Linked DNA regions of Saccharomyces cerevisiae S288C. The protein of the gene in region 4 purifies or fractionates together with the protein of the main gene of each other region. This does not show direct contact. Each region holds a gene or a part of one and is shown on either strand. Other genes may lie near its edges.

What was found.
Region 1: the proteins of NUG1 (region 4) and NOC3 purify together in Saccharomyces cerevisiae (affinity purification with mass spectrometry; 8 studies listed by BioGRID, with this or other methods). This does not show direct contact.
Region 2: the proteins of NUG1 (region 4) and NSA1 purify together in Saccharomyces cerevisiae (affinity purification with mass spectrometry; 5 studies listed by BioGRID). This does not show direct contact.
Region 3: the proteins of NUG1 (region 4) and ERB1 purify together in Saccharomyces cerevisiae (affinity purification with mass spectrometry; 9 studies listed by BioGRID, with this or other methods). This does not show direct contact.

Annotation. Positions count from the first base shown.
Region 1 is NC_001144.5:153,476-159,282, forward strand, and holds NOC3 (Noc3p), read right to left. Parts: upstream 2,860-5,807; coding exon 868-2,859; downstream 1-867. Other genes in the region: YLR001C (uncharacterized protein), read right to left, coding at 1-502; CMS1 (Cms1p), read right to left, coding at 3,380-4,255; THI73 (Thi73p), read right to left, coding at 4,459-5,807. UniProt on the Saccharomyces cerevisiae protein: Required for synthesis of 60S ribosomal subunits and the transport of pre-ribosomes from the nucleoplasm to the cytoplasm. Also required for initiation of DNA replication.
Region 2 is NC_001139.9:297,749-302,798, reverse strand, and holds NSA1 (ribosome biosynthesis protein NSA1), read right to left. Parts: upstream 2,822-5,050; coding exon 1,430-2,821; downstream 1-1,429. Other genes in the region: CUE3 (Cue3p), read left to right, coding at 1-1,262; TATA-binding protein-associated factor TAF6, read left to right, coding at 3,071-4,621; SLD3 (Sld3p), read right to left, coding at 4,861-5,050. UniProt on the Saccharomyces cerevisiae protein: Involved in the biogenesis of the 60S ribosomal subunit.
Region 3 is NC_001145.3:367,594-373,841, forward strand, and holds ERB1 (ribosome biogenesis protein ERB1), read right to left. Parts: upstream 2,925-6,248; coding exon 501-2,924; downstream 1-500. Other genes in the region: CSM3 (Csm3p), read left to right, coding at 1-341.
Region 4 is NC_001137.3:160,297-165,310, forward strand, and holds NUG1 (RNA-binding GTPase NUG1), read left to right. Parts: upstream 1-2,426; coding exon 2,427-3,989; downstream 3,990-5,014. Other genes in the region: YND1 (apyrase), read left to right, coding at 254-2,146; PAC2 (Pac2p), read left to right, coding at 4,231-5,014. UniProt on the Saccharomyces cerevisiae protein: GTPase required for 60S ribosomal subunit export to the cytoplasm.

The DNA.
Region 1 (5,807 bases), on a different chromosome or scaffold from region 4:
TTTGAGGTTGAATTAGTAAAAGATTGTTAATACCTTGTAATGAAGCATTCTGGAAACTAGGCAGCAAATCGGGTTCGACAACAGCAATTTCATTGACAAAGCAATGGCGCTCATGCTTTCTCAGCAATAAAGGTGCTTTTGCAGCTCTTTTCTCCAGGTAGGTACCGTTTTCAAGGTCTCTCACTTGCAATACCCTATCATGAATAAGGAAATCTTCAATATGGAAATGCTCCTCAAATTGGTCTGTGGTTTGGTCCCCCTTAATAAATGCTGAATTAATCGGAGCAAAAAGTGTAAAGTTCTGTAGCTCATTTAAGTACTGTACGTGACCAGTTTTCTGAATAATCCTTAAAAAAGTTGAGAATTCAACATTTTCTGAGAGGATATCTATTACTGTGCTAAATGGAAAATCGTCCCCTGGGTTTTGTAGAAGTGCTTGTGTAAGCCCTAATATCGGCAGTAGCCAAAAAATGTATTTAATTGTTTGGATTGCCATGTTCATCAAAGGGCTCCGTTTGATTCAGTTAATACATGCTGTCACTCACAGCAGCTTAGATAAGAAGCCGTTTTGTCTTATTTTCTAGGCCCTTAATATACGCCTAATGGGGAAGTCCGACCGAACAAAATTCTCCTACCGGGTTTTCACGGTAATGTTCTTCCATAAAAAAAGACAATATAGTAAGCTGTTAATATTGATTTGGTGAACTTGAATCTGATATTTGTTTCTATTGCTTACGTATAATACTTTTGCGGTAATTCATTCAAATTTCATACAATGCTAATATTTATACAATTCTACTCGACACGGCAAAAATGATTGGCTAACGATAATCGTGGCTCTTTATATACTTAATATATAGGATCTAGCTATTTAGAACACTCTTTAGATCTAGATGATAGAGAGCGTAGCCCCTTTGTAACTACAGGACAATAATGCTTTTCAAGAAGAGCATTATCCCATAAGGTTGCTGCCTCTGGGTTACTCCTTGAAGGATTATCGGCTTCCATTATGAAATGACCGTTGCCTATTCTATCCTCGGAAGAGTAAAGGCCTGAAATTTCTGGATATCTATTCATTAATTTATCAATAAATTTAAGAATGGCAATACTTGTTTTTTCTGGGGTATGGCTGATGCACATGTACAATCTTTTGGTAAACGCCGTAGCCCTTTCTTTAGTCCCTGATTTAGAGCGGAAAAATACATGGTCCAGAGCCTTTAGCAGAAGTTCTGCTTTGGTAGAAACGTTAACTGATGGTTTTATTATTTCGTTATTGAGTGGGTCAGCCAACCTTAGCGATCTATAAGATAATTCGATGTCTGCATCAAGACAGATATAAGGTAATAGCGCGTAAAGCCCATCGACGAATTTGGACAAATCCACATTAACTTTCATATATTGTGTATTTGAAATAAGTGAGAATGCACTAACGATACAAAGCAAAGCCTTACGGACCTCAGCAGAGGAAAGGTTATCGAATTCAGTGTCACTAATAAGTTCTTTCATTACTTCGAGGAAGTCCCCTAATAGATCAAAGTTGGCCATATTACCAAACTTCGTTAGACCTTCCAAAACCGATCCAATGAGTGTTTTTGCATTGTTTTTCAAGATATTCAAATATATAGTGAAAACGATTTTTAGAATTTCGGATTGGTTTCTTTCTCTTTCCTCCGCAGAAACAGCTTGCTCAGCGTTACGCATTTCTTCCTCAATTTGTTGCATCTCTTTTCGAGCTTTTCTTTGCTTCTTAGAAAGATGGACCCTATCTTTCTTTTTGAGCTTAGGAGCGCTAACGTTACCTTTCAATTTAGTATTAGGGTCATAGTCATGTAAGACATCTAACGATAATAACATATTTAAAACAGATTCTTCGATGTTGAAGTTCCTCGTCTTTAGTATTTTGTTGAAAATTCTTAGTATCTCGAATGATATTGAGCCCTCTTCGTCCTCATTTAATAGAGTTTCAAATGTCTGGATTATTTGAATGGAAGTTGGATCTGTTGAAATTCTTGGTTTACAAATTCTACGCAACAGTAAAGTGAAAATGTCTGTTCTAAAGTTGAAATGGGATGCCGTTGAAATCAATTCTTTTGCGGCTTGAGTGGCCAAAATCCCTAATGAAACCTGTATAGGAGCAGCATTACTGGGAGTTTTTGAAAGACTCTGTAATCTTCCGACGTAATTTTTGTAGTTATAAACTAAGGCTTGCTCAAAGTTTCTAAGCTTGGAGACTTCTTTAGAAACTTTTTCCTTCTTTTCAGTTTCAGTTAGTGGTCGAATTCTATAGCCTGGTATGATACTCTTAAACACGGGGACCAAAGCCAACATGGAAAACTTACAAGTATTAGGATTTTTAGATTCCACCATTTTACATAGACGCCCCAACGCAGCAGTATTTTCTTCAGGCTCCTCCATAACTTTAGTGACTAAATCGGCAATGTCTTCTTTTAGTTGCAGAATTTTTTCCTCCGTATCAGGCTCATCCTCCTTTGCCTCTGCTTCTTGTTCTTCATTAGGTCCCTCATCATCTTCTGAAGAGTCATTAGAGTCTTCGTCTTCCTCATCATCGTCCTTTGGTTTTTCTTGGGCTTTATGCAATTTTCTTTCAACTTTACCGTTAACTTTTATAGGCAGGCCTTCAACAAGATTTGATGTATCAGACCGATTCTTCCGAGGAACCATTTCGTAATCCTGTTCTTCTTCATCCCAGGATGAGCCTTTTGCGCTATATATGGTATTTTCATCCATATCTTCCGGTGCATTTTGGAAAACATTGCCTTCTAACAAGGAATCTTCGTGCTTTCTTTTCTTTGCAGTCCTTTCCTGAATGCGAAATTGAGATCTATTTCTCTTAGCCATTATTACTATGATATCTCCAGCTTTTATCCCGGAATTATACTCTTATGATTGAAGACATAAAATGCCAAGTTTATACCATGAAAATACTATATATGGCAGGCAGGTGAATGAGATGAGATAAAATTTTCAGTTTTCGGGCATCGCTGAAAAAATTCAAAAACTAAAGTAAAACGACGTCCCATGGTCTACTCTACGGTGAAGAAAATGAGGGAAGACATTGAATTTCTGAATCTAAGTAACTACAAAAAAGCATACACTCCATGGAAAGAGTAAAATAGGATAAATTGGTTTTATGTAGTTAAAGAAAAAATACATTGTTATATATGGAGTTTGCTGCGCGCCTAGGCGTTCTCGAAGTTTCTCCTTTGATTTTACTTTTTGGAAGGGCTTTGGACAATTTAAAGAAGATAATTTGAAGTACCCCATCAAATGCTAGAATGAAATATTTAATATACTAAATTAAGGCTGGTATTTAAAAACGTAATCTTATGTGTAGAACCTCAGTGAAAAAGCGCTATTATTAATATAACAGTATTTTCACGGAGCTTTTTTTATTCAAAAAGGTTTTCAAGACTTGGCAGAGGACGGCTGCATTCTCGAATGATAATATAGTATTATCCTTAGGATCTAAATAACTTGCATCAAGAATGATATCTAACTTTTCCTTACCTTGGAAAAGTAAGTCAGTAGCTTCTATAATTTTCTGCATTCTTGTTGGAGTGGCAATAAAATATAGTGAATCTTTATTTTTGTTTGATTTTTTAGAGCTGTCAGTAAGTAAACGTTCCACGGTGGCTATGTCATCCTTTAGTTTACTTTTAGAGAATAATTTGACGCAATTTTTGCCACCGTTTAGACTACGATAAACGTCTGCTACTCTAATATTAGACATAGAAAAAACAATTTTTTTTGGAGCTACGGAAAATTTTTGAATAAAGGCTGGGAAATTGCTTAATCTGCGTTCAGCGTCAAATTTTTCTGTCGAAAGAAAATCATTTCTTTTGAAGTAAAGTTCCTCTAATTCTAAAACACTCAAGTCAGGATTTTTTTCTCGTATCAAAGTTGTTAGGTACTCAATAATTTTTTCTGGTGAACTTGCTGGAAGTGCTTTTCGTTGTGAGACGATATACTGGCTTTCCTCTTTCTTTTTCTCAATTAGCTTTGATTTTTTCTGTAGCTTTTTCTGTCTTTTCGAAATAGGTCTATTCGAATCATCTTCTGAATTTCTCTCCTCTTTTTTCCCATCTATATCATCAACGTCATCGTCATCTTGTTCTATAGACCTCTTTTGTACCTTTTTGGTTGGGGGACTACCATCCTTGGCGTCAAAAATTACTTCATGTTCGGCATCAAAATCATAGGCGAGTCCATCATCTAAATCATCTGGATTAGACATTTTCAGCTCAATTGTCCTGACGATATGTTTAGAAGTTAGTAGCGGGGATCAAATTTCGACTTTCATTGCCTCATCCATGGTCATCTCAAAAATTTTCTCTTCAATTTTTTGGTAAATACCAAGTGCAATGAATGTTTGGGTGTCTTTGAATATTGAATATTACAGACTAAAAATATTATATATTGTAAATTAAAAGTTGATTATTAGTAAATGTACCTGAAATTTCTGTTTTCGATATCAGTCAAGTCCAAAAATTGGTACTTCTTCCTTTCTTGACCTTCTTGTTCCTTATCACGCTTTTCGTTCTCCTTCTTGCAAATGTAGCCAATGTATAATTGTAGGGGAACACAAACACACTGAGTGACCAATAAGGCAATCTTTGCTGGTATGTAACGTGGAGCAGAGTATGCCCTAAACATCTGTGGAGCAATAATACAGGAGACATTGTATACAATCATTGTAATAGCATTTCTAAAAACTCTTTTGGTGTAACCGGAGGTGTTGCATGAATTCCAGATGTAAATATTGGTAATGACACAGGAACCACTGTAAAGCAAGTACAGAGAAAATAAGTTACCGATCTTATGGGATAAGGGTAAACTGATAAGAACGATACAACCTATAATAGCTGGAATATACATAGATGTGGTTATGAGTGTGATATGACCCCAGCGGGACAACATTTGAGTTGTTATAAGAATAATCATAGCCGTAATGGCACCAATAGGCAACTGCAGTAATGCTGTTTCGTACTTGTCGAAACCAAAAGTACCAGTGATGGTCACTGAAAATGTACCAATGGCACCAGTAGAAATTTGAGAACATGCAGTTAATAAAAGCATCGGCCAAGTAAACTTATCATGAAGGAATAGTTCTTTAACTTGCTGCTTCTTAAACTTCTTTGTTTCCAGGCCAGTTTGGTTAGCTCTGATATGCTCAACAACTTGAATTTTTTCCTCTTTGTTTAGGAACCAAGCATTGGTGACGTTATCTGGAAGGTATAAGAATGTTAGAACACCAAACGCAACTGTAACCAGACCAACGACCAAAAACATTATTTGCCAAGAGGTGAAAGCGGTACCATGATAATGTAAAAAGCCAAAAGAAATTAACCCGCCCACAATATAACCTGTACCAGCCTGTGTGGCCCAGAATCCAATTCTTGCACTCTGTTCAGATTTAGTATAGTACATACCACTAATAGCGATACAACCAACTGCACTCGAGGATTCAAAGAGACCTAGGAGAGTACGAACGACCATCAACGAGGCGTACGTCTTACAAGCAGCATGGCAAGCCAACACGATACCCCAGACGGTAATAAAAGTACCTAGGATTTTGGAAATGGGGAATTTTTGAATTAAGTAAGTGACCACAGGTTCCATGAAAATGTAAGCAGCAGAAAAGATAGTACCCAAATTAGAAAATTCGTTACCTTTCAAATGATCTTTGATACCCATAGATGCAGCGTAGTTCAGCAGAGCCTTATCCAAAAACATCAGAAGATATGTACAGCATAAAAAGGGCAGGATGAAGAGGTCAACTTTTCTCA
Region 2 (5,050 bases), on a different chromosome or scaffold from region 4:
TTGCGGAGAACTTCTTTACGGCAAATTGGATTGAAATTTTAGAGGCATTATGGGCAAAGGGACAGGGCCGGGGTCATAAAGAGGCTAGAGAATTGATCATTATCAGTTTATTTTCTGTTTCTGCTGATCGTTTACTAAAAATAACTAAAGAATTAGGCATAAGCAATTTTGAAACTTTGGCGTTATATCCTCTTTTAGGAACAATGCTCATAAATGAAGGAGTCCACAAAAGGCTTCCTGATTTGAAGAGCAAGTTACTATTTCTGAATTTAGGGGGGTTGTCAATGGACGAAGGAGACCATATGAGCTATCCAACATCATCAGGTACTGAAGTTAATGAAGAACAACTGTCCGCGTTGATGGAATTGTTCCCCCAGTTTTCTAAATATCAATTATCTCAAACGTTGCTTGCCTATGATAATAACATTGAATTAGTAACGAATAAAATATTTGAGGATCCTACCATTATCGAAGCATTCTCCAGAGAACCTGCGGAGGAAGAAGTAGAGCCGGTGTCAGATGGTGATAATGCATCCTTTACTGAAGAACTGAGTATATTGGATAGAGGAGATAGCTCAAAAAATAAAGAGCTAGACAAAAAGATTATCTCGGAGGGTGTTCCGGATGAATTAAGAAATAAAACTTTGACAAGAGCATTGAAACTTTTATACGAGGCTGATGAAGATGAAAGGGATGACACTTATGATGAAGCCGATGTGAACCGGTCCGATCCTTCGAAAAGAATTGGACTTCAAGAAGACGAAGAAAGCTATGATACAAAAGATGATTCTAATGAAGTGCGACAAGATCATAACTATCATATTGTTGAAGCTTACTTGTGGAATCTATTGAAAGAGGATCCGAAATTATTTGAGAGATCAAAAAGAGGTACAAAAGTCAGGAAAACTATGAAAGAAATGACTTCATGGTCGGATGAAAAAATCGAAGGTTGGTGTCGGATGTTAGAAAGATCTCCTACCCGAGCAAGACTTTTAGAAAAGAAGTTTATGTTCAAAGGAAATAGCAAAACAGGGAAAACGTCTTATGTTCATAATCGTGATAGCCAAAATGATGGAAATGTCGTCAAAGAACAAGCCAAACAAAAAAAATCTGAAAATATTAAGAAACATGAACCTCAATCTACTGAACAGAAGAAAAGACAGCATGCTAAGAATGAAAAAAGGAAAGGGGCTAGAGCTAACCATAACCGTAAGAAGGGGCACGATAAAAAATTGGCTCGTGCGGGAAATAACGCTATTTGATAAAATGCATCAGCATACAAGATAGACAAGCGTATGTAAGTTTACTAGACGGTATACAATTATGTAACGTATTATAAGTTATTCAGCGTCGCGTTCAGGAAGTGCTTTTTTTAATAATTTTTCCCGCCGACTAGTAAAACTTTGCCTTCAATTAGCGTCCTTTACTATTAAATTTTGCTTTTCTTACTGGCTTTAGAAGCAGCTACCTTTCCCTCCAATTTATTCCAAAGCTCATCTGCGTCTTCTTCAAGTTCTGTAACCTTCCTTTTTTGCTTCCCTTTGGCAGCTTTCGCACTTGGACTTAGTGGCATCTCGATTTCAACGTCATCCAGCATAACAATAAAATTTATACGGGACCCAACATAAACCTTCACCAGCATTTTGTTAGTTTTTATATCGAAGATCCGAACATACCTATCTAAACCACCTTGTAAAAGATATTTGCCGTCATGTACATGAATATAGGTTGACGAACCAGTGATATCATCTCTACCCACCTTGCCCAACATTCTTCCATTACCATCGAATTTAAAAACATTCTTTTTGTAGTCAGTAGTAATCACATTCAGTTCATTAAAGGTTTCAGATTGAAAATTCCCCAACGAAGAGACAACATTTTCTCCCTTGGCATCAAAAACTTCCATCTGAGATAATGGTTCACGGTTAGGTAATAAATCTATCTGAGCGAACGGTTTTCTGCCATGTTGTGTGCTGTATTTGGTGAGGTGGGACCAACGGGTTATGGCTGCAAACTGGTAGTTCAGCTTACCCTTTTCAGTTTTACCAGGGGAGGGCTCCAAAAATCTTAGGGCCATGGGCCATACTGGGACTCTCATATCCAACCTGTCGTTTTTAACATTCTTGGCTTCCCAAATTTGCTTTAAAGATTGGAAACTCGAATCTATTTCCACTAATTTTATTAAATTCTCCTCCCCTCCGTATGCAAATATATATTTATCAGTATCGGTATCTTCTAGATCATATAACTGAAGAAATTCTACTGGTGCTTTCAGTCCAAGGGATGCTAGTTTTATTAACTTTTTATCTTCTCCTTTTTTTATAATATGTAATAATCCCGATTTGGTAGCAGCTACGAATGTGTTATTCGACGAATCCTTTTTTATGGGACATAATGTGACAAAACCATCCACCAACTTGGTTCTTTTAACAGATTTACTTGAAAGTGATTCCAATTTGGCATCATCAAAAAGGTCTGAAACTGAGCTGGTTATCTCAAACTCGGATATGTCAAATTTGGGTAGATCATCGGAAAGGCTCTTTTCATTTTTGCTTTCTCCTTTGGGATCGACCTGGAGAGCTTCATTTTCTTTAAGGTGTTTCGAAATCTTTACAAGTTCGACGACCCCTGAATTCCTTGCTAAGATGGCTTCATCTTCGGATATCACCCACATCCTGTCAACGTAAGCTTTCAATCCTTCGGCTAGATGAGGTGCCACATGAAAAGGCTGCAGTGCTGATTGTACGGAAGTGTCAGTCCCGATGTTACACAAAACTTCCTTTATGGATCCACTATCCACACAGCTGACTAGTAACCTCATTTTACGATCGAAGCTGGGCCTATTTATGGTTAAATTTTCTCTGTATTATGTTCATTGAAGTGAGGCTTCGAGATTGGGCATCGCTTTACAAAATTTTTCAGCTTTATTTTATTACCAAAAAAATACCCGGAAACCATCAATAACAAACACCGATTCAAGTAGCAGCAAAAGTAGTTCATGAGCGAAAACAATAGATTGGCTTTAAAAAGGAAGCAAAGGACGCCTCAGTGTAGTTGATAGCCTGTTAAAATGTCTACACAGCAGCAATCTTACACAATTTGGTCTCCACAAGATACTGTTAAAGATGTCGCTGAGTCGCTTGGGTTGGAAAATATCAACGATGACGTGTTGAAAGCACTTGCTATGGACGTTGAATACCGTATTCTAGAGATTATTGAACAGGCAGTCAAGTTTAAAAGACACTCTAAAAGAGATGTTTTAACTACAGACGATGTATCGAAGGCCCTGCGTGTTCTGAATGTGGAACCTTTATATGGATATTATGATGGCTCTGAAGTTAATAAAGCTGTATCATTTAGTAAGGTTAACACAAGTGGAGGACAGTCGGTTTACTACCTGGATGAGGAAGAAGTAGATTTTGATAGATTAATAAATGAGCCATTACCGCAAGTGCCTCGTCTACCAACTTTTACTACACATTGGCTAGCAGTTGAAGGGGTTCAACCTGCCATAATCCAAAATCCAAATTTGAATGATATAAGGGTATCCCAACCACCATTTATTAGAGGTGCTATTGTCACTGCTTTGAATGATAACAGCCTCCAAACACCTGTAACGTCGACGACAGCAAGTGCTTCTGTGACGGATACAGGCGCCTCTCAACACCTGTCTAATGTTAAACCAGGACAGAATACTGAAGTCAAACCTTTAGTGAAACACGTTTTATCCAAAGAATTACAGATTTATTTCAATAAGGTCATTTCAACCTTGACAGCGAAGAGTCAAGCTGATGAAGCTGCACAGCATATGAAACAAGCAGCTTTGACTTCACTACGAACTGATAGTGGCCTGCACCAACTGGTTCCATATTTTATTCAATTTATTGCCGAACAAATCACACAAAATCTTTCCGATTTACAATTGCTAACAACAATTTTGGAAATGATTTACTCTTTACTAAGCAATACTTCTATTTTCCTGGACCCTTATATTCATTCGTTAATGCCTTCCATTTTAACCTTGCTATTAGCAAAAAAACTTGGTGGATCACCAAAAGATGATTCGCCGCAAGAAATTCATGAATTTTTAGAAAGAACGAATGCACTACGTGATTTTGCCGCATCTTTGTTGGACTATGTATTGAAAAAATTTCCTCAAGCATACAAATCCCTGAAGCCAAGAGTAACTAGGACACTGCTAAAGACATTTTTGGACATAAACCGTGTTTTTGGGACTTACTATGGGTGCTTAAAGGGTGTATCGGTACTAGAAGGTGAATCCATCAGATTCTTCTTAGGAAACCTAAATAATTGGGCGCGCTTGGTATTCAATGAAAGCGGAATAACTCTAGACAATATAGAGGAACATTTGAACGATGACTCCAATCCAACTAGGACCAAATTTACTAAAGAAGAAACTCAAATCTTGGTTGATACTGTAATTAGTGCATTGTTAGTTCTAAAAAAGGATTTACCAGATTTGTACGAGGGTAAAGGTGAAAAAGTTACGGATGAGGATAAGGAAAAATTGCTAGAGAGGTGTGGTGTCACTATTGGATTTCACATTTTGAAAAGAGACGACGCAAAAGAATTAATTAGTGCGATATTTTTTGGCGAATAGTGAGAATCGGTTTATACTAATAGTACAACGGTAATGTTATATAACAGTTTTTACATACGCCATTGTATGTATATATATATATATGCATGATGAGTTATTTAATTGTATACTCAAAGGCCCCCGAAGTGCGAAATTGTTGTAGCTTAGTTTTATTTTATTCCCTTTTCGTCCAAGAAAAGCTACAAAGATGGAGTTGGGTCAACTACTTGCCAGCGAAGGTGGTCTCGCAGTTTCTTATTCTATGTGGATTCTGGAGCAAATAAACGTCTTCTTACTCTCCTTTTTGAGCTATTTTCCGGGGGCTTATTAGTGGGAGTAGAGGTAATATTGGAGGTATTTTTTCTGCCTTCATGCGTATCATCATCCTTGAAATTTAGCGGCGATTCAATGATGCTTTGAAGTTGCGCCTTTTTATTAGGTGTCACAGTT
Region 3 (6,248 bases), on a different chromosome or scaffold from region 4:
GAGGACGAGTTTTGGACGAACGTGGGAATAATGAAACGGTACTTAACAACGTTGTGCCGCCTAAGGAAGATTTGGATGCATTATTGAAGACATTCAGGGTACAAGGGCCCGTTGGCCTTGAAGAAAATGAGAAGAAGCTCTTATTAGGATGGCTAGATGCGCATAGAAAAATGGAAAAAGGCTCTATGACTGAAGAAGACGTTCAACTGATTCAAAGTTTGGAAGAGTGGGAAATGAATGATATAGAGGGACAACATACTCATTATGATTTATTGCCAGGGGGAGATGAGTTTGGCGTAGATCAAGATGAGTTGGATGCTATGAAGGAAATGGGCTTTTAGCAATGTCATTGAAGGTAATAATCCAAACGTGCGTGTGGGCATCTATACATATAGGTTTATATATATTGTGTAAATAAAGCTTGTAGAAAGAGCCTGGTTCGAGTGTTTGATTTTTTCTTCTTGGGCGTTATTATACAATATCTACTTCAAATTATTTATCTAGGTGGTCCATAAGCGAGCCGTATTATCAGCACCGGCAGAAAACAGCCAAGCTTCCCTCGGATGCCAAATAGCATCAAGAACACCCAGACTATTGATTACTTTATGACCGGTTAGTTTCTTTAGTGGCACAATCATCGGATTTTTCATCATGTCATCATAAACAGTGGCATGGAAAACATGTATGGTACCGTCATCAGCGGCAGAGCTGAATAGAGGTAACTTTTTGTGGAAATTCACACTTCTGACGGCTTTTTCATGATATCTTAGTGTCTTGTAAGGTGTGCTAGCCAAATCCAGGTCGTGCCATAAAACTCTCTTGTCAAACGATGACGCAATTAAATTATCACCCCTTGGGTGAATATCGATTTTCGATAACCAACGGGCACCAGGCAACAGTTTCTTGACCAATATTTGTTGAGATAAATCATAAATTCTGACATATCTTTGGGAACAGACAAATAATTGAGGTTTAAAAGGATGGAACTTCGCATCCATAATAATGCCCTTCGATTTTTTGAATGGGGATTGGGTTAAATGCTTGGAAACTTGGTGAATCAAAACAGAAGTGTTACCAGAGTCAGGTTGAACAGTGACAAAGTAATCACCTTTTCTATGCCATGAAAGCTTTTTTACTGTTTTTTTGCAAGAAATAGTGATACAAATATCCTTTTCTAGTTGCTTTTGAGAAGGCTTGTTCCATTGGGCTACTTGTTTTTTTACAGCATTCTTAGCAGATTCATTCTCTCCATCTTCATCGCCATCACCATTCTCGTTCACTTCTAGGTTAGATTTTTTAACAGTCCCAAAAGTATCGTAGCCAAAACCATCTTCAATCTTAGTTTTGCCGTTATTTTCAATATCGTAGCCGAATATTGGTGGTACTATTAAATGAATGTTTTCACCAACAGCAACGGCGAGAATACCATTATTAGCATCAGGATTCCATTCAATGCATTCAATGTGGTAATCTGGGTTTTCCTCGTCATCGATTAAAGTAGTTCTATAAACTTCTCTACCAGTTAAAATTTCCCATACCCTGACTGTTCCGTCATCAGATCCTGTTGCTAGCCATAATCCAGAAGGATCAATGGATAATGTGCGTACTTTTCCTTTGTGACCAGCGTATATTGTTGAGCAACGAATAGGGAAGGGTCTTAAATCCTTGGGAGAGGGAAGTTCTGGAATTAGAGAATTAGGATCAATATTCAATTTGTTTTTACGGACACGAGGAGCTAAATATAAATCCAAAGATCTTTCAAATCTTTCCCTAATAGATTCACCGTAACCAGGGACCTTTCTTAAGGCAGAATACTTTTGAGGTATGAAGTTTCTTTCTCTTTCACTATATTCAGTATTTTCCCAGGCCTCCTTTTCTTCAGGAGACAAAAGATACTCTTCTGGTGGATTATAACTCTCTTCATTAGTTGGTGGAGGTAATTTTGGTGCCCTTAGATGCATTACATGATCATTTGTTTCCGTAGAATCACCCCATAAATCGTATTGATAGTTTTCAATTTTTTCCTTTTCTTTCATTTCCTTTAATTTTTTAGGAGGAATAATACGGCCCTCTCTGATAGCTCTTACAATTTTCATAACTCTCTTGGCTTCGTTTTTGGATGGAACAAATCTTCTTTTTGGCTCCGGAACAGCAGTTAATGGCATCACTTCTTCGTGTCTCGTGAACCAATCGATTAACGGTTCGTATGGATTTATGCTATCATCAGTTTGTTCGTTCCTTTGGATTTTGGAAATAAGTTCTAATTCCTCTTTGGTTAAGTTCAAACTTGAACCGGAATTCTTGTCCAGTAAACCAGTCCAGCCTTCAGGTAGCTCGATAGAATCCAACAGTTGATCTAAAGCAGAACCCTTGGCAGGTCTCATAATCCTTTTACCGTTGATATCGTATCCAATGTGTGGCATTTCATCGTATGCAGAAAGTGGAATATTACCAATGGTATTTTGCGTTTCGGCATCACTATCATCGCTATCATAAACTGGATTAATTTCAGGTTTGATAATTCTATCACTGCCATCTGCATATTTTGAGTAAATATTCGGATCAACGATCGTTTGCAATTTCACACCCGATAATCTGTCTGTTAAGGAAGTTGTGTCGTCTGAAAACTCAGAACTGTCATAGTCCTCTTCCCCATCACCTTCTTCTTCGGCAAGCAGTTTGTTTAATTCAGCATCGGAGTCATCATCAGAATCATCTTGGGCTTCTTTATCAGAAGATGATTCCTTTTCTTCAACGGCAGACTCGTATTCGTCATCATCCTCGTCACTCTCACTTGCTTCCGCATCGATCAAACCGTCAACGGATAAAAGCTTGTCCTCATCTTCCTCGACATCAGATTCTTCGCTAGCTGCTCTCTTTTTCGACATCTTTGCCTCGGTAGTTTTGTTGTTCTTAGCCATCATTGACCTAGTTATGTTAGAACAGATTTAATACAGTACCTTTCTTCGCTAGGATCTATATGCGAATATATCACATATGTAAATTATAAGCTCATCGCAAAACCAAAAAAAAAAAAATTTTCAATAATTTTTCACTAATCTTCAAAAACAAATGGGGTAACCCGTACAAGAGTTATTAAAACCCAAAATGACAAAATCGCGACAATTCAATCCTACTTAATTAGCAATAACATACTAGCGGTAGAGCTACTATCACATGTTGAACCTTGAATGCTCAATTCATTGTACTCAATACTGCTATCAAAAGAAAAAAAATGTATTAATTATATTCTTGTCAAAATCAATTTTACACTATAAGAGGAAAATGTTCTTCAGTCCTAGTAACATTAGTTTTCTCCCTTTGCTAGAGACTTTACATAATATCCTAGAAGGTAAAATTCGATAATACAGCAGTAAAGTCGTATATTGGTAGCAATCCTTGGTGACGCTGACTTTTTTTTTTTGTAATTTTATTGTTTAGTTCATGATAAAAAACTTCAAATCACTTTTAATCTGGTAGACAGAGAAAACAAATCGAAACGAAAATAGAGAACTACGAATAAAAAAATATAAGTGGAGAAGATCGTCACTACGCATTAAACAATATTGATCGCTCAATGCCAGTACTGCGCGTAAAAGTTTAGTAACTTAACGATTTAGGCACAATTTGAGAAAAATTTCGCCCTGCAGTAAGTATGTTATTCAGTACGATATAAAGCTGAGGTTTTATGCTGGCAACGTTCAGATTTTTTAGGTTATCAGCAATGTTAAAATATTAAATAGGATACTTTTATTGTTTGAGACCACCCTCAATGCCAGATATGTTAAACGCTTTTTTCTGGAGTGAGGTATCATAGAAAAAGGCTCGAGTACATCAAGCACTTAAAGGTTCAACACTCTACTGTTACTTCTTTAAGCTAAGCTATTCATACATAATAGTCCATCAAAGTGGCTCAAATTGCGCATACAGTGTAAAAATGCGTTCAGGGAATAACGATGTCAAGCAGCGTGTGAAAATTGGACACGTTGAATAATAAACTTCCTGGAAACCGTCGCGCGCCACTGCTGTCAGAAAATAGTAGACTACTTAATTTTCAATTCATATTTAGCCTGCTTTTTGATCTATGAAATCGCCCACTCTAAATCAGCGGTGTTTTTGCACGGTTTGTAATTTTAACTTCATTATATGTATTATTCGGTGACTTCACTAAAAAAGAAGGATCTATGCAATATTCTTATCTTCTATTTTTTTTCTTTTCGATTTTTGAAGTTAAACCTTCGTAATGAACAGATTCGAACAGTATACAGCTGATGACAATTACATGTTAAACTTTCATTGATGATAATGGCACGCACTCCACCTGTTAAAGAGGCAGAACGAAGAACCTTTGCTTATAACATAGGTCAGTGTATACTGGATAATAGTATCGAATAACCAGCATAATATTTTCTCTGGAAATACCTTTAAGGGGTTTTTAGAAGAAAAACAAATCCTAGTGCAACTTGCAAGTCATCAAAAATAATCTATCTTATCTCTATATATATATTTGTGTATTTTATATTTTATGACAAAGCTAGAAATATAAAATCAGATACCGCAATAGAAGATATTTCAAATAATAATACCAATCTCATAGCTCAAAACAGGCACTAAGGGAATACTGAAGAAAGTAATGTCTAGGAGTTAGTATAGCTTGAAGTTGCCATCGGTGTCATTTAGGTAGATCTATCTAGATTACGCGCAGCCCTCAGAAAAGCAAGTGATTTCCGAAGTTTCAACCTACCCAGACTATTCACATAAGGTTAATTTATGATTGAACAGTTCAAATAAATCTGCGCCATTCATGAAGATGATTCGATACCGCAATATGCTGCTAAAGTGCTAAAAAAATGATTTCGCCCAGGATCGAACTGGGGACGTTCTGCGTGTTAAGCAGATGCCATAACCGACTAGACCACGAAACCAGGTTTTATTGAAAAATTGCATCTAAAATAACCTATACTAATAAATCTTCTAATAAATCTTCTAACTCTTCGCTGTTCTATGTGATATCGTTGATAGTTAGGTTTTCGTGTTGAAATAATCAATTACATTTATTGACTGGTTTAATATTAATATATTATCATATACAGTGTAAGAAGGTGAGATATATGTGGGTAATTAGATAATTGTTGGGATTCCATTGTTGATAAAGGCTATAATATTAGGTATACAGAATATACTAGAAGTTCTCCTCGAGGATATAGGAATCCTCAAAATGGAATCTATATTTCTACATACTAATATTACGATTATTCCTCATTCCGTTTTATATGTTTATATTCATTGATCCTATTACATTATCAATCCTTGCGTTTCAGCTTCCTCTAACATCGATGACAGCTTCTCATAACTTATGTCATCATCTTAACACCGTATATGATAATATATTGATAATATAACTATTAGTTGATAGACGATAGTGGATTTTTATTCCAACATACCACCCATAATGTAATAGATCTAATGAATCCATTTGTTTGTTAATAGTTTGAATGTTTTTATCGGAAGAGGTTTGGTCATTACGTCTGCAATATTCTTTTTGGTTTCGATATAGCATACGTGCAGATGATTTCCTGATACTTCATCTCTTAGTCTCATTGCTTTAGTACCAAAAAATCTGTTTCTAAATTTCTCTTCATTATTGGATATAATTATACTGATTGTAGATTTACTGTCGGTTAGTAATCCTTTAGTAATTGGTTTCTTGTTAAGTTCTTGCACAAGGTGACTGAGGTTATTTAATAATGGGACAGATTCACTTATCGCGTGTATTTCTGCTTCCGTAGTTGAAGTACATGTTAATGAAGCCTTGGTGGACTTTCCTCCAATTACTTTTCCATTAAGTAAATATATGTTGCCAATTTGTGATTTATAATACGGTTGGTTACCATACGATGCATCGCTTATAACAACTAATTTATTTGTTGGCTTAACAGGTTTGCTTTTGTGCCATATTAATTGCTTATCTCTCGTATTCCATATGAACTGTATCAATTCATATGTCATATCTAACACTTGCTTGGACGGAAATAGTATATGTTGTGCAAGTGTGTTGATGTAGTATAATAGGTCAAATCTAAATTTATATCCAACATATGATGCTAGACCTATCAGCTTTTGCATTTCATGTACCTTCATTTTGTAATCATCTTCTTCTAGCTCTAGTTCTTGCTGGTCTATATATAGACCTGGTTGACCTGGAGCGCTAAGTTTCCTTCCTTTTGGGTTCAAAGGTACGTTTAGTT
Region 4 (5,014 bases):
GCAGCTACAGTTGTATTTTACTGTGACGTACTTTTGCGCGCGTACGGGTTCAATGAATTACGGATTTTCAACAACTTCACACAATCATAGCTTTTTTTACTTTTTCGCCTCATTATTTTCTTTAAAGAAACGATGATAAACAGAGATTTATCGTCATGTTATTTCGTTCGTATATATCGTATTTGCGTTTTAGCTGTATAAAGTAAAATACTATATCTAACGTGGCTTTTTTTATTTCCCCGTCTGCCCTCTTATGCTCATAGAAAACACTAATGATCGGTTTGGTATCGTCATAGATGCAGGGTCTTCGGGTTCGAGAATCCATGTGTTTAAGTGGCAGGACACGGAATCGCTTCTTCATGCAACAAACCAGGACTCACAGTCCATATTACAATCAGTACCTCATATTCATCAAGAAAAAGACTGGACTTTTAAGCTGAATCCAGGCTTGTCGAGTTTTGAAAAAAAACCTCAAGATGCGTACAAATCTCACATCAAGCCGTTACTAGATTTTGCTAAGAATATTATCCCTGAATCACATTGGTCGAGTTGTCCCGTTTTTATTCAAGCAACCGCGGGCATGCGCCTTTTACCTCAAGACATACAATCTTCCATTTTGGATGGTTTGTGTCAGGGGCTCAAACACCCTGCAGAATTTTTGGTTGAGGATTGCTCAGCACAAATTCAAGTCATTGATGGTGAAACCGAAGGTTTATATGGCTGGCTTGGCTTAAACTATCTATATGGACACTTTAATGACTATAATCCAGAGGTCTCTGACCATTTTACATTTGGGTTTATGGACATGGGCGGTGCCTCTACTCAGATTGCGTTTGCACCGCATGATTCAGGAGAAATAGCTAGACATAGAGATGACATCGCCACCATCTTCTTGAGGAGTGTTAACGGAGATTTGCAGAAATGGGACGTTTTTGTTAGTACGTGGTTAGGGTTTGGTGCCAATCAGGCTAGAAGAAGGTACTTGGCTCAGTTGATCAATACCCTTCCAGAAAACACAAATGATTACGAAAATGATGACTTCTCTACAAGGAACTTGAATGATCCATGTATGCCGCGAGGAAGCAGCACGGATTTTGAATTTAAAGATACCATATTTCACATCGCGGGTTCTGGGAATTACGAACAATGTACAAAATCTATTTATCCGTTACTTTTAAAGAACATGCCTTGTGATGACGAGCCGTGCTTGTTTAATGGTGTTCATGCTCCTCGAATAGACTTTGCCAATGACAAATTTATAGGTACTTCTGAGTACTGGTACACTGCCAACGACGTATTCAAACTTGGGGGCGAATACAACTTTGACAAATTTAGCAAAAGCCTAAGGGAGTTTTGCAATTCCAATTGGACGCAAATATTAGCGAACAGTGATAAAGGCGTGTATAATTCTATTCCGGAGAATTTTTTGAAAGATGCATGCTTTAAGGGCAATTGGGTCCTTAATATACTTCATGAAGGGTTTGATATGCCTCGAATAGATGTCGACGCAGAAAATGTCAATGACAGGCCCTTATTTCAAAGTGTGGAAAAAGTCGAAGAACGAGAGTTATCGTGGACACTAGGCAGAATTTTACTTTATGCCTCAGGTAGCATATTGGCAGGTAATGATGACTTCATGGTGGGTATTGCGCCCAGTGAAAGAAGAACTAAGCTCACTGGTAAGAAATTCATACCTGGCAAGTTACTGGAGTCTGATCAACTACGCAAGCAAAGTTCCAGCCTTTCTAATAAAGGATTTTTGATGTGGTTCGCAATTATTTGTTGCATATTTTACTTGATCTTTCATAGGTCACACATAATCAGAAGACGTTTTTCCGGTCTGTACAACATTACCAAGGACTTTAAGACAGGCATAAGGAGAAGGTTGAAATTTCTAAGGAGATCAGATCCATTTTCCAGATTGGAGGAAGGTGAACTTGGAACAGACGTAGATGGCTTCAAAGATGTGTACAGGATGAAGAGTAGCAGTATGTTTGATCTTGGTAAGAGTTCAGCCACAATGCAAAGGGAGCACGAACCACAAAGGACAGCAAGTCAGTCCGCTAATCTCGCTCCGTCAAACTTACGACCTGCGTTTTCTATGGCTGATTTTTCCAAATTTAAGGACAGTAGGCTATATGATTGAATGTGGTGGTGTATGTGCCATAAATAGAAGCGCATATACTTCTCACATAAATATATGTATATATCTAGTGAGGTGCCATAGTATTGCATTAACAGTGATTCACGTCACTCTAAACGTCGCTTCTGTTTTTTTTTTGAAATTTTTTTCTCACAGCTGCTGAAAATTTTCGAGCGAGGCGATGAGATGAGCTAATTATATCAAGAGGGAATTGTACTAGTAATACTTTGGTACACACAAGAACAAGCATATAGGTATACAGTCACGACTATAATATCATAAAATGAGAGTCAGAAAGCGCCAATCTAGAAGAACATCTACCAAGTTGAAGGAAGGTATTAAGAAGAAGGCTTCTGCCCATAGAAAAAAGGAAAAGAAGATGGCTAAGAAGGACGTTACTTGGAGATCAAGGTCTAAGAAAGACCCTGGTATTCCTTCTAACTTTCCTTATAAGGCTAAGATCTTAGAAGAAATAGAAGCCAAAAAAATGAAGGACTTAGAGGAAAGAGAGCTTGCCAAACAACAACGATTGGAGGCTAGGAAAGCTGCCAAGGAACAAGGCGTTGATGCAATGGATGAAGACATGATAGAAGACGATGAAAATGGATTAGCAGCTTTGGTTGAGTCTGCTCAGCAAGCAGCTGCTGAATATGAGGGCACACCCTCTAATGATGCAGATGTTCGTGATGATGAATTGGACGTCATTGATTATAACATTGATTTCTACGGTGAAGATGTAGAAGGCGAGTCAGAACTTGAAAAATCTAGGAAAGCTTATGACAAGATTTTCAAATCCGTTATTGATGCTTCTGATGTCATCCTATATGTTTTGGATGCCAGAGATCCAGAGAGTACAAGATCAAGAAAGGTGGAAGAAGCCGTCTTACAAAGTCAGGGTAAAAGGCTGATTTTAATACTGAACAAAGTTGATTTAATTCCCCCACATGTATTGGAACAATGGTTAAATTACTTAAAGTCTAGTTTTCCTACAATCCCATTAAGAGCTTCTTCTGGTGCAGTCAACGGAACTTCTTTCAACAGAAAGCTAAGCCAAACCACTACTGCAAGTGCACTGCTAGAGTCGCTGAAAACTTACTCTAATAACAGCAATTTGAAGAGATCTATTGTAGTGGGTGTTATCGGTTATCCAAATGTTGGTAAATCATCTGTTATCAACGCTCTTTTGGCGCGCCGTGGAGGTCAATCAAAGGCTTGCCCAGTCGGTAATGAAGCAGGTGTTACTACCTCTCTGAGAGAGATCAAAATCGACAACAAGTTGAAGATTCTAGATTCTCCTGGTATATGTTTCCCAAGCGAAAATAAGAAAAGATCGAAAGTTGAACATGAAGCTGAATTAGCTCTTCTAAATGCTCTACCGGCAAAACACATTGTTGATCCGTATCCAGCTGTCTTAATGTTGGTAAAGAGACTAGCTAAATCAGATGAAATGACAGAGAGCTTTAAAAAGCTGTATGAAATTCCTCCTATTCCTGCTAATGATGCAGATACGTTTACAAAACATTTCTTAATTCACGTCGCTCGTAAAAGAGGTAGATTAGGGAAAGGCGGTATTCCAAATCTTGCCAGTGCTGGTCTTTCGGTACTTAATGACTGGAGGGATGGTAAAATTCTTGGTTGGGTTTTACCAAATACATCGGCAGCTGCATCTCAACAAGATAAACAAAATCTAAGTACTATAAACACTGGCACTAAACAAGCTCCAATTGCAGCAAATGAATCCACCATTGTATCCGAGTGGTCCAAAGAATTTGATTTGGATGGATTATTTAGCTCTCTTGACAAGGCCATAGATGCTAGCAAAGATCAAGATACAATGATGGAATAAATAAGTCATATGTAAGGCTATTTTTATGTAAGGGGTGTTTCTTATTTTTTCTTTATCATCAAATAACATTACTGTAAATTATAGGTGTGCTTTTAAACTCATTACTATACATCTTATTTTTTTTAGTTTTACTGCCTTTTTGCTCTTTGGACAAAGAAATCATTAAAAAGTTCCAACTTTTATTATGTTTCATATATAAGATATACAAAATATAAAATGCAAAACGAATTTCAGAGATAGCATGACTTATGAAATTGGGGACAGACTCAAGATTGGTGGATATTTTTGCACCATCAAATTCATAGGTGTTATTAAGCCGTGGCCTTCGGTAAAAGCTTATGGGGTGGAATGGGACGATCACAGCCGGGGAAAACATTCTGGAACAATAGATGACATACACTATTTTGACGTTCAAATTCCTAATTCAGGATCATTTTTGAAGGAGTCTAAGATTAAATCTCCAGGTGTACGCAGAATTACGTTTTACGAAGCATTGTCAGAAAAGTATGGAGGCTCGAGTAATAACATTAATGACCTATCTATAGGTAACAAAAGGGTTGAGGGTTTGGGATTCGATGAACTAAATGCGAGAAATAAGAATTATAAGAAGTTAAGAAAAATAGCTTTGCGAGATTCCGATGTCGCTATATTGTTTCAAAATCAAGATGAGTTAAACCGTGTAATACAAAATTGTGTGAACGTCAAGGACCTTGATTTATCGCTTAATCTATTCACGAATATCAACTCTTTATGTGAGTTCATAGAACCTTTGAAGAACTTGGAGAGCCTTAATATATCTCAAAATAAACTTTTAAGCGGTTGGGACAACTTGAAAGAATATGACCTATCACACATCAAAACTTTACGTCTGTCTTCCTGTGGTTTAAGTTATAAACATATTGGTAAGCTGCTCAAAAGCTTCAGGACACTGAAAATGTTGGATTTAAGCTATAACAACTTGACCAGTGCGGGAATCCAAAATTTTGAGAATGAAATACCGTGTACTTTGGAGGAACTGAATATTA